Xenopus tropicalis: one gene and its partners. The protein of the gene in region 3 purifies or fractionates together with the protein of the main gene of each other region. This does not show direct contact. Links are inferred from orthologs where the notes say so. Each region holds a gene or a part of one and is shown on either strand. Other genes may lie near its edges. The genes, in order: nup37, ahctf1 and nup133.

Region 1 (4,404 bases), about 76 Mb from region 3:
AACCACTCTTTCTCCATGATGGAAGGTTTTTAGGGTCTTAAACTCTATTCCTTCTACAGCAGAATCTTCTTCCTAAAAATGAAATATCACGTATAGGCACAGGTATGAGTATATTAGTAGGCTGGATATTAGTGCAGTTCCATACAACAGTTATGATGCCCTTTGTGTTAAGAATTCAAGCAAAATATAGTGGTTCTTCTTCTTTAAAATTATATATGTTAAGTATAACTATAAGAAGTTGTAGTTTACAATGGAGCACTGGGTCCCAAAACACTTTTTTTCGCCTTTCCACCAGAAACAAAGGTTATAGTCCAGTGGAAAAGTCTACACATCTCTTCAGCTTTCCAAAATTGCCTACAGCTGGAAACTTTGCACGACTTTGGAGAACCAAAGAGATGCAAAAGCCTTTCCAACGGCGATTATACTTAAAAGACAGAATCAGGATCATTAGGCTTAATATTATCTGTTCTAAAAAGGCATACCCTGCCCCCCTAATGTGAAGTGGATTATCTACTAGGAAAATTGCTGTAGTCAATGCTGACTCCATAATAGTAATTTACATATATGTTTCACAACATTAAAAAGTTTTTCATTTATCAACCGATGTTTCCAAGTGATTCCATATGACTCTCACAATGGCCTGGAGTAAAAAAAATGTACACACCTACAATTTTACCCTAAATCAGCCACTAAATGAAAAAATAATTGGCATGTACATACCTGAAACCTGCAAGATGCAATAACGACATAACTAATTCCACCATAAGCTAGTAAAGAGCCTGCCTCCCCAGAGTCAAAGGGATTAAATTCTACTACATGCACATAATCTTCACAGTCCACTGTGTAGGTGGCATTACTTGTTGAATCTTGCTTCATAGTCTGCTTCTGTTTTCTTATTTCTAAAAGTGCTAAAAGGAAAAAGAAAATCTTCAAATTTTATGTATAGATCTATGCTATATTAAAAGGGTACAGTTTTTGCACCCTTATTAAGCCATTTTTTACAACACAGGTGTTACTGTGATGGCTGTAGTCACATGTGTTCTCAAGTGTGCACATGAGGTTAATTCCAGCTTGGGCATTCTCTGCAAGAAGAAGTAGTGTTTTCTCTCCTTTGTGCAGGGTTTCTTCTGTGTACTCTGGTTTGCTTCAACACACTAAAAACAGTCAGCGACAGCATGGCTCTTGCTAACCCTGACCCTGATAAGGACCTTAGACGGAGCAGAGCAGATGGAGACTCCCTTTTAATGAAAGAAAAAGTGCAAAAAAAAAAAGACCCTTTCCAGCTGTTAGGGCTCTGGCACACGGGGAGATTAGTCGCCCGCGACAAATCTCCCTTGTCACAGGCGACTAATCTCCCCGAACTACCATCCCACAGGCGAAAATGTAAGTCGCCGGTGGGATGGCACACGCTGCGCAGGCGATTTGCCGAAATTTGCCCACCAGCGACTTACTTAGTGTGCCAGAGCCCTTAAACTTGCTGATAGATCAGTTTGCACTTATCAGTTTCCAAAATTGCGTAGGCCCTTGGTCAGTGTATTTTTGAAATGCATAATACTTGGGGCAGTTCTATGTTGAGCATATGTATGTATGTTTATAAATTTTGTATTTATGAAGTGCTACATGAATACATGAAAATGCAGTAATGCAGCGCAGTACAATGTAAATTCTAAAAGACACAGCAGTAAGGAGGTCCATGCCCTCGTAGAGCTAGATATACACAAAAAAGTTTTATGGTCGCTTTAAAATACTACTGACACATTCCTAGAAAACATGTCACTATTACTGAAGAGTTGCAGCACCAACGTATTTATGGCCAAAAGTCCCCAAGGAATGCACCACCTCCAGCCCAGGAAGGAGACAGATAGAAGAATCCGTAAGGCTCTCTGTCACGCAAAGTTTCCACGGGCTAATTACAAATAAAAACTGCCTATGGAAGGATCAAGCCACACTTAGCCCAGCATGACTGACACAACTGCAAAGGAATCTGTAGCCATGTTGGAGTGTCACCTCAGGTAAATTATTGCTGCGCTGGGGCCAGTGTTAGTGGGCTTTTGGCAGAAGGTTTTTGGTTCTGCAACTCGTTAGTAATACGGACACATTCCAATGGATTTTTATGGAAACATTTCAGTATTGCTTTAAAGGGGTGGTTCCAAAAAGCTGAGGACACAGTTTTATGGTTACTTTTTCTTTCTATTCCGAGCCTCCTCTATTCATATTCCTGTGTCTTTCAAACTACTGCCTGGTTGCTAGGTTAAATTGGGCCCTAGCAACCAGACTGATGCTGAACTTGCTGGAGAGCTGCTTAAGAAAAAGCTATATAATTTAAAAACTACAATTAAAAATGAAGACCAACTGCAAACTGTCTCAGAGCACGATCTACATCATACTAGTAGTTAAAGCGAACAACCACTGTAACAAAGTTACTTAGACTGGGCAGGGACCTCCTTTTGTCTTTAATTTTGTGTAGTGTGTATTTATTTTATTTATAGTGCATACACCCGTTTGTTCAATTGATATATCGTTCTTCTACTATACGACAAACAAGAACCTACATATATACATCACGCATACTTCTACTACTACTACTACTACTACTACTACTACAAACAAGCACTCAAACTGTATACGATCAACTTACAGACGGCAAACGCCTGACACATTTACAGCGGGTGAAATCGCATTCTACCAAAGCCACCCGCCACCATTAATACACGCCGCGTTTTGGCAATATACGCAGACCATGTACCCTACAACCAAAACATTTCATATTCCGTAGTTATAACTATCTCAGCAACCGCAGAAACCCCGCTGTATCACCAATACACACCGACCCAGCCTGCCCTGCTCCCGCCAGTAGATTTGCAGTTCTCTTTCAAAGCGAGCGAATCCCCTTCCTACTACCTATCATATCCGGGGCTCTAGGTCGCGCACGCTGATTGGCTGAATCTAGGCAACTCTGTGGCGCTACGAAAATTTAAAAGTCCCACGAACGTACGAGGTTTTTGAAAGGAGAAACAGCTGCTGTTTTGTTTGATAGAGAGAATAGTAGCTGCGTCTTCTGGTGGTAACTTCGTTCTGTCTCAACCCCCACAAGTAAGTATGATGTACATACACTATCTACTTTTTGCTTCTATACTAAATTTTTTTTTTTTTTTTTTACACCTGTCTAATATTTTAATATTTCCTTCTCTCTTCATTAGACCCCATGGCTGCTTCTCTCTTAACCCCCCACACATATAGCATACCATTCACCCTCTATGTAATTAAGCCACATTTAAAAAAAAATATATGTTTTGCAGGCACAACATATTGCTGCGAAGCAGTAGGCAGACAGCTAAAGGTTAGTAGTCCTAACGGGAACAGCCCCATCCCTGGCCTGTTTTCTATTAAGTCTTTGCAATGTTTATACATATTCACTTGTGTAATTATTTTTTTTTAAGTAGTGGGGTGAGGGGAGTTGTGTTTGTGTTATGATTTTCTTTGCATAGAATATCTATCTATCTGTCTATCTATCATCTGTCATCTGTCCATAGGGTGCATACCTGGGTGGTAGTACCAAAAACATGCACTGGAACAAGGACAGCACTCCTAGGATTTAAAGAATTGTGAGCAAAATGTAAATGCAAAAATAGAAAGGTTTATTACCCATCTGGAGACCATTAAGGTTTCTGTGTAAGACTGAAACGTTGAGTGCTGTCCTTGTTCCAGTGTGTGTGTGTGTGTGTGTATATATATATATATATATTTCCCATACTTAGGGAGAGCCTTATTTACCTGAAGAAAATACCTATAGACAAGGAATGTACCAGAATGGATGTAGGCCATGATGGCTAAGCAGCAATGCATGGCTATCTCATATTATCTGGTTGATGGTCCTGTAGCCTGATTTGGCCAAAGACTTGGGTGACCACATCAGGTTAAGATATGCTACTGTTATGGAAATTCAGATACCGGATATCATTTGGGGTAGAAAAAGTTTATTTATCACAGATTCTGAGCAAGAGTCTAAGAATACTTAGACAAAGGATTGGGGGGTTTTTATATTGTCTTACAATTACACGTTATAGAAAAAGGCTCTGCAGAAGGGAGTTCTTGGGAACGAAAAGGGAGTTTTAGGGGGGTTGTGCTTGAAGCTGGACTCTAGGACAGTAAACAATAAAACAGTGTGCAGTAGCTGATAAGACTTGCTCTGGAGATGTGCTCAGGAATGCAATTTACTTTGAAACTGTCCTGACCATTGAAGGACCTAAATATACTGCTCAAATAGAATATGGGATCACCTGAAGGTTGCATCCTTTCAGATAAAAGCATTTCTGTTTAGATCATTAGCCTATAAACTTCTAATTTGAAGATGAGTTATGCTGATTCTAATTCTGTTACAGTGCTGATGTTCTATAGAGTATT
Region 2 (3,723 bases), on a different chromosome or scaffold from region 3:
ATCGTCATCCTGTTGTAACTTGTAGAGTTTGTGTATGATGAACCTGTACCATTTCCCTTTGGCATGTCTTAATCTAAGAAATATATACTATCTGTTTTAGTGTTCTGTGGGAAATACTAGTAAATCCTGTTGGCACTAATGCTGGTACTTTTTTTTTTTTTTTTTTTTTGTACTTTTTATTAGAACTCAATAGACTGTATACTTAATCCTGCAGCAAGTCGTGTTATGTCATGGCAGCACTCACAAATCATTGAAACTTTGATGTGCCAAGGAGATCAGAGACAGGCTCTTAGGTATATACAAGTGATGAAACCTGTAGCAGCCACCAGCAGAGAGGTTAAACTACATATGACTGTGCTGCTTGCAAACAGGTAAGAAAATGTTAATGTGATGCCTTACGGCAGCGGTCCCCAAACTTTTTTTTTTTTTTAACCTGTGAGCCACCTTAAACTGTAAAAAGATGTGGAGAGCAACAGTGTGCATGATATGAACTCCAGGGGATACTTAGGGCAGATAGGGTTAATAATCCCTTTCAGTCAGGCAATTGAGTGGCTGCTGAGCGAGGAGCTGCCTGTGGAATTAAAAGGGGTGTGCTCTTAAGCCTATGGGCTCTTTGGTTGTCTGGGGGAGACAGGGCTTTCCTGTGTGTTTTAAAGGAGAGGCATTGTCCTGGTTGTTCCTAGTGTGTGAATGGAAACCTGAGGATCATGGAGACTGAGACACAGGGAATATCTGACAGGGAGAGAATGCTTGAAATAGAAAGTGAGTACCAAAGGGCCTCTGACCCTGGAGAAAGGCAGCTTTTGGAGAAAGAACAACAGTTCCTAGGTGCTATGATTGTTTTTTTTATAGCATGTAGATTGGCAGGCTATAGGGGCTCCTTGTTTTTATGCAACCAAAACTTGCCTCCAAGCAGGGAATTAAAAAATAAGCACTTGCTATGTTGCCACTGGGAGCAGCATCCAAAGGGTTATTGAGCAACATTTTTCTCAGGAGCCACTGGTTGGGTATTGCTATTTTAAGGCAATGCAATTGAAATTCCACATCTTTAAAGGAGAAGGAAAGGCTAATGAAGAGTTAATCTCAAGCTGCAGGCATACCTTCAGTTGTCTCAATAGTGCCCTTAAATCTCCTCATATTTCACCTGTGTAAAGAAAGTTCCCATAATGCCTCACTCCTAGACCGAGACCAAGTGTGCATGCTCAGTTTGTAAGACTGAGTCATCTTCCTGCTGATTGGCTCAGATCCACATTCCCAAGTGTGGGGAGTGAGTTCTTAGCATTCTTGAGAGAGGGGGGAGCAGGAGAGGGGAGAAAGCAGAGAGCTGCGTGTCTCTGGCACATGAATTACAGGTACAAGAAATCTTTTTTCAGAGAAGTGAGTGCTTATGGCTGTATTTACATAGACCTTTCTGATAAAGCTTACTTAGTTTTTACCTTTCTTTCTCCTTTAAAAGCCCACTATACCTTAATCTTATTCGCCTAATGTGTTTTTTAATGGTTCCATTTATAGTGGTTCTCTGCTTGCTTTGTTATCGTATGCTTTCATTTATGTGTTACTCAGTTTGGAGCTTTGTGTAAGCCTGCTGGCTGCCCGAGTGTCATAAACCAACCGGTATATCCCATTATCAGGTCTTTTTTCATCTTGTAGCAGCTAGACTTTGGCCCAGGGCATTTAAACCCGTAATTTAAAGTCTAAAGACTTTTAGACACTACATGGAATTAGTTCTTAGACTTTAAATTACGGGTTTAAATGCCCTGGGCCAAAGCCAAAACAAGAACTAACTTACAAGGTGTCAGTACTTAGCAGTGACACCTTGTAAGTGAGTCCTTGTTACAGTCGCTTAATGCTTTTTCTTTTAGCTAACTTTACAAGCGCCTTGTCGTCGTATATCTGAACTCTAGCTTTCCTTCACTTCCTGCCTCAGTTAAGGCAGTGTTGCAGTGGCTTCCTAGTATACTTTTGGTCCCTTTCTGTGGATTTTGCATTCTCATTTAACAAAAAAATTCCATGGTAACATATTGACATAAGAAGCCTTGTTTGTCTACATATTTGTGTTTGTTCATGTAAGTTGAAGCAGCCTTTATGAGTAGGTTATTTTATTTATATAGAGAATATGTTGTTCGGTACGGAGTATCGTGAATATCAGAATGCTTGAGAAGCAAGAGATTTGTGAGTGGGGTAGAGCCAGTAGAAGCTGAGGTTCTCAAGATAGACCAAACATGCCCTTTTCAGTATACATGCAAAGGCTGAAGGAAGTTGAACAGCAGAGTGTCGGATGTAATGGAAGCTTTGCTCGCGAGGGGGGATGGGGATTGGAGTTTCAGATAAGCTATGCATAATTTCTGTCTTCTATTCGATGGTATATTGTGATATTGTCTCATTTGTATACTCTGTACGCAAATGTGATGACAATAAAGCTTGACTTGATATGCTTACAGGTCTATTTTGGAAGCCTGGAACTTGCAGAGACTGCATTCTAGTCGTCTGAATGTAGAAGAATTGCTCAAACACATGTATGAAACATGTCAAGAAATGGGGCTAATTGAAGAATTACTAAAGCTAACATTTACAGATTTTGAGCAAGTAAGTGAATAGAAAACTGACTAAATGTATCAGACTGCCACTAAGTAGCACATCTGAAAGACTATTTTCTCTAAAACTTTTCAATTTTAGGACTATTTGCACAAGTTCTTGCAGACTACCGGTGTACAAAATCAGGAGCTGCTATTGGTGCACCATCTACAACGAGCAAATTATATACCAGCCTTGCAGCTAAACCAGTCATTGAAAACAAACCACTTGGTAAATCTAAGTACACTTTATTTAGGTATCTTTTAATTTATACAATTTATAAAATGTAACCACTCCCCCCTCCTTTGGAGCAGAATGATTGTGACCGGCGATTGCGTGAGAGATCTGTGGCAAGAAATGCTATTCTGGATCAGTATGGAAAAATACTGCCAAGAGTCCAGCGAACTCTTGCAAGCGAAAGAGCCAAACCCTACTCATTACCATCGCTAGTGTGGAGAGAAGGTATATATATTTCTTTCTCCTAATTATCAAAGTTCAGTAAAATACTTTTTCTTGGCAAAATATAATTAACCTCACTCTTTTTTACTTCTAGTTGCTAGACCAAAGCCTTTATCAACTACTGCAAAGCAGGCTGCTCCTGGAAGTATAATAACCAAAGCAAACTTTATTTGCAATGTTCTGTCAAAAATTAAAGAAGTTTCTACTGCAAATGAAAAAAGGGAAGAATTTTCACCTTACAAAAGGTAAGCCCAGTGCAATTTCATCATTCCTTTTTCAGCATGGAATATGATTTAAATAGCCCCGTTACCCTATGAAATGAAAGGATTGATTGAACGGATTTGCAGGCAATGCATCACCGTTGCAGCTTCTTTCATAAACATCTAAGACTTGATGTTGTGATTTTTACTGGCTGACATCAGCTTTACTGACCACTATCCATTTATGGAACATATGGGAACCATGACAAGTAGAAGCAGTTTTTTGCCTGCACATATTCAAGCTTCCAGTATGGTTTGAATAATTTAATCATAGTAAGAATGTTGACTCAGGTACACTTAATAGATTAAAAAGCAGGGTATTCCTATTACCCTGGCTTTCTTTCAGGGTTGTGCACTGCTTAGGGTAACAAGTGTTAGGGTAACATGTTTACTGTTACCCTCATTATGTTGTTCAGGTATGGGATCTGTT
Region 3 (4,185 bases):
ACAGAAAATCTGAAAAATTCTGATCTGAAAATAGAGTCATGTACCTTTGCAGCCTGCTCTGATTATCAGTCATTTCACATATCTGCACCAAGATATCAAAGTCACAGTACTTCTCAGCAAGATTTGAAGCCCAGGCATACTGTCCTAGGCTTAACAAAGGAGCTAAAAGTTCTGACCGCTTCTGAGCATACTCCATTTCCAGGACACTGTATCTTTCTTGATTAGTCCGTTTATCAACTGATTTTAGTTGGATGACATAATCATCAAGCAAGTAGTTTAGCAAGGCTGCAAGCTGCTCAATTAGTATAGTACGAAGGCTGCTATCCGCTTGTGGGTAGATCTTCAATATTACACCATGCTGACGTGTAACAACAGACCTAATACCTGCAATTCCACTAGAAGCAGTCCAGGGAACATACTCGGGCTCTTGCATTCCACTTTCATTTTTATAGAGAGAATTTTTACTTTGTCTGTACTGACAGGCAGCATGTAGCATGTCTTTCAGAATAGTATTGATATTGACAACTATATTTGCCCATTCAACTGAGTCCATGGAAGTACTTTCCAAGTCAGCTTCCTCTTTGTCTACCAGGCATTCAAAGATAATATCCATTTGGGATACCTCTCTAAAGTAGACATCGGCGGCAGTGAGATTCTGGGGTATGGAGCACATCCTTTTATCAAGTGCAAGTTGTATGGCAGAGTTAACCAAGGCAGGGAGCTTAGCATGGTGGTTCTTTAAAACAATTGCAGCAGACAGTTTCTCTGCATGCTCACACAGCAACAGTCGAGTTGCTACGAACATTCCTTTTGCTTGACAAGTGCTCAAACGACTGAAAAGTCCAACTTGATGAAGGAAATCCACAAAAAAGGAGTGAGCTTTCATCTTATCTTCCAGCTGATGCAAGAGAATTAGAGAAGTGTTGCTAAATCCAGCTGCCTCTTCAGGGACAGATTCAGCCCAACGAGGATCAGAGGCAGGATAATCATCAATCAAATCGACGCTTATTTGGTTTACTGCTTGATCCAGTTCATCATCTGGTCCCATGTCTGAATCTGAGAACAGGCTATCCACCATGCTCTGTGCCCCCAGTATGTCTTTCCTGCAACATCTCAAAAAAGCGGCCTTCAGAAGTTTGGTCTTATCATCATGAGCAATCTGGTCAGGTCTTGAAGTTGAGTCCTTTACTGCAGCCTGAGAGCTGGATTTAGACACGGACAACAGTGACTCTTCCATGTGCTCTGGGAGCACAGAAGCAGTCTCTCTAGCAACAACGGTCAGCATACCACTCTTTCTAATGAAAAAAACTGGCCAACCTTCACAGGATCCAGCTCCTATAATATTATCTCCTTGTGCTTCAAATGGAATCTTTTCTTGAGGCAAAGTGCTCCTTCCAGTTCCTGTTGAACATGCAAAGACCATATCTTGGGTATACAAGTAACAGGCCTGGCTGCTAAAATTTGGTATCACAAGCTGGCACAGCTGCATATCTCTAGACTGAAACACAGGGTTGAACTGAGTGACTTCCACTGTAATTTCATCAGAAATATTATAACCTTCGTCTTTCACGGTTACAAGTGTGTAATATATCTGGCAGGGGTTATCACCAGGATGCCAGGCAGCAGCCAGGATGACTAAACCATCACAGTTCTGGTTAAGACTTAAATAATCAATGTTAATTCCATTTTTTATATCATCATAGTTGCTCTCAGACCCCCAAATGGCATCAGATATGTTTTCTCTTAGGACTCTGGTCATGTCCCAGGTAAGCACGTGACTTTCCGAAGCATCATCCAAGTCCCATTTGTTTATACTTGAGTCTGTGAGAGTATAGAAGCAATCTCCCTTATCCCAGAGAACACTGCAGAGCGTGGATTCAACAGCAGGAGACAAGATGCCAAAGAGCGTGGACACCCTGCGGCCAATACCGGACAGCATGCCCTGACCTTGCGGCAGAATACGTTGATTAATCTTTCCGGACGCGTCGGGTGTCAGTCGTACAAGGTGATTTTTTTCTGAAGACAGGATGAAACTGTTGCCTTTTACAGCTGTAACAAATGCACAAAGAGAGGAGCCAAAGTCAGCGTAAGACTCTATATAGTTGCTCTCATGGAGAATGTTAGGCCAGTAGCGGGCTGACCCTTCAGGAGTGGCCGCCATTAATGCCACTGCCTGTCCAGCAGCAGAGTCACCCGTGTGGGCACAAATATCCGCTAAATCAGCAGACCATTCGCTGTCACTCAGTGGAAGAGGCAGTTCTTTGCACACCATTAACTTAGCAGAGGTGGAGTGACTTATCTTCCAAATGATCAGGCGATCCTTGCACGCCAGCCATGCCCATCCGCCTTCATGGATGCGAGCAGCCAAGGGCTCGTCTACACCGGAGTTAGACAGGGCCTCCATTACTTTAACTGGCAAGGAGGAACCAAACAGCTGTACATTGTAATTCACCGTCTCAGAGGCGGCCGGGTGGAGATAAACGCGGGACGGGGTGGATCTGGCGCCACTGCTGGAAACTCTACGACCCACAGGCGAGTACAGCGCCGACGGGGAAGAACTGGCGCTCACTCCCGGACCCAAGCCTTTCCTGCCGCCAGTCAGTCGGGCATTAAACGGCCGCCGCGCTGAGCCCACACCCTGAGCACGGGGTGACGGAAACATGCTGGATCCGGTAGCCGCTGTGTCGGGATAGTTTGAAAAGCGCTCGCTACCCGCGTTGTCTCAGGAAGTGCAGGAAATGGCGCGCTGCTAGTGACGTCATAAGCAACGGCCCGGCCTGTTAGGCTGCAACTGGCCAACTGGTTGGAACCAGGGGTTATCGTTCAGTCAGTCAGGTTGCGTCAAATCCACTTGCTCTTTAAACAAGTTATATTTTTCTTGACCTACAAGGAAGAAAATGGGATTCATGCAAATAGTTTGCTAAGCAATGGAAGAATAATAACCGAACCAAATAATACAGGAAACAAAAGCCCTAAAAATTGTACAGTGGATGATAATAGACGGGGTGATCCTATAACTTTCCCATGTATGTATGTATGTATGTATATCTTTATTTATAAAGCGCTACTTATGTACGCAGCGCTGTGCAGTAGAATTCATTAATACAGACGGGGTTAAAGATAATGGATAAATACAAAGTATAACAATAAATACAAGGTACAGTTGCAATAAGAGTCAGAAACACAAGATGAAGGAGGTCCCTGCCCCGTAGAGCTTACAATCTATAAAATGATAAAAGGAAGTCGTTTTTTCCCCTCAGTCTAAGAATTAGTGTCTGCCATTGTTTCTTAGTGCAGCAACCAGTAATAACCATTGACTGGCACATTTACTTTTGGCTTGGTCGTCCTACAGTAACAATAAAAATTGTACTTGCTGTCTCAGTGTTATCCAATTACTTTGTGCAGTGAGCAGTTTGTGTGATATTTTTTTCCTGTAAGTGGCTGAAAATGTAAATTAAATAGTGTATTTTGCATCCTTAATTCCTGGTAGCCCAGGTGCAGAGTTGCAGTTGTTATTACAGGTATGGGGCCCATTATCCAGAATGGTAGGGACCTGGGGTTTTCCGTAATTCAGATTTCCTACCTTAAGTCTACTAAAATATTATTTAAACAGTAATTAAACCCAATAGGATTGTTTTGCTTCCAATAAGGATTAATCATATATTAGTTGGGAACAAGTACAAGGTACTGTTTTATTATTACAGAGAAAAAGGGAATAATTTTTAAGAATGGTAATTATTTGATTATAATGGAGTCTATGGGAGATGGCCTTTCCGTAATTCGGAACTTTCTGGATAATGGGTTTCCGGATAAGGGGTCCGATACCTGTAAGTGAAAACCACGAGCTCTGCTGATAATAGTGCGATATTTAATTCCATGCCCACACAGACAATCTCTGGAAGGCCATTGTGTGTCACATATAAAGCAAAAGATGAAAAGAACACAATTTTTTTGGCACACCTGTAGAATCTTAAAATATAACTTTTAATTTATGTTCACAGCTAAAATAATTTTTTAAAATTGGTAAAGCGAAAAGGAAGAATGAAAAGATTAAAATATATAGTAACACACCCTAGATCAGCGTTTTTCAACCACTGTTCCGTGGCACACTAGTGTGCCGCGAGATGTTGCCTGGTGTGCCGTAGGCAGGGCCGCAATTTTTACTTTCAAAGGGGGCCCGGCGAT

Evidence for each region.
Region 1: the proteins of nup133 (region 3) and nup37 purify together in Homo sapiens (affinity purification with mass spectrometry; 4 studies listed by BioGRID and IntAct, with this or other methods). This does not show direct contact. The link is inferred for Xenopus tropicalis from reciprocal best matches to the Homo sapiens genes NUP133 and NUP37.
Region 2: the proteins of nup133 (region 3) and ahctf1 purify together in Homo sapiens (affinity purification with western blotting; 3 studies listed by BioGRID, with this or other methods). This does not show direct contact. The link is inferred for Xenopus tropicalis from reciprocal best matches to the Homo sapiens genes NUP133 and AHCTF1.

Annotation. Positions count from the first base shown.
Region 1 is NC_030679.2:49,128,940-49,133,343, forward strand, and holds the start of nup37 (nucleoporin Nup37), read right to left. Parts: upstream 2,860-4,404; 5' UTR 2,828-2,859; intron 2,805-2,827; exon of another isoform or gene 2,661-2,804; coding exon of another isoform or gene 2,639-2,660; intron 909-2,638; coding exon of another isoform or gene 877-908; coding exon 721-876; intron 73-720; coding exon 1-72. UniProt on the Homo sapiens protein: Component of the Nup107-160 subcomplex of the nuclear pore complex (NPC). The Nup107-160 subcomplex is required for the assembly of a functional NPC.
Region 2 is NC_030681.2:51,310,814-51,314,536, forward strand, and holds part of ahctf1 (protein ELYS), read left to right. Parts: intron 1-183; coding exon 184-371; intron 372-2,441; coding exon 2,442-2,586; intron 2,587-2,676; coding exon 2,677-2,805; intron 2,806-2,888; coding exon 2,889-3,036; intron 3,037-3,127; coding exon 3,128-3,278; intron 3,279-3,723. UniProt on the Homo sapiens protein: Required for the assembly of a functional nuclear pore complex (NPC) on the surface of chromosomes as nuclei form at the end of mitosis. May initiate NPC assembly by binding to chromatin and recruiting the Nup107-160 subcomplex of the NPC.
Region 3 is NC_030679.2:125,105,826-125,110,010, reverse strand, and holds the start of nup133 (nuclear pore complex protein Nup133), read right to left. Parts: upstream 2,801-4,185; 5' UTR 2,663-2,800; coding exon 1-2,662. UniProt on the Homo sapiens protein: Involved in poly(A)+ RNA transport. Involved in nephrogenesis.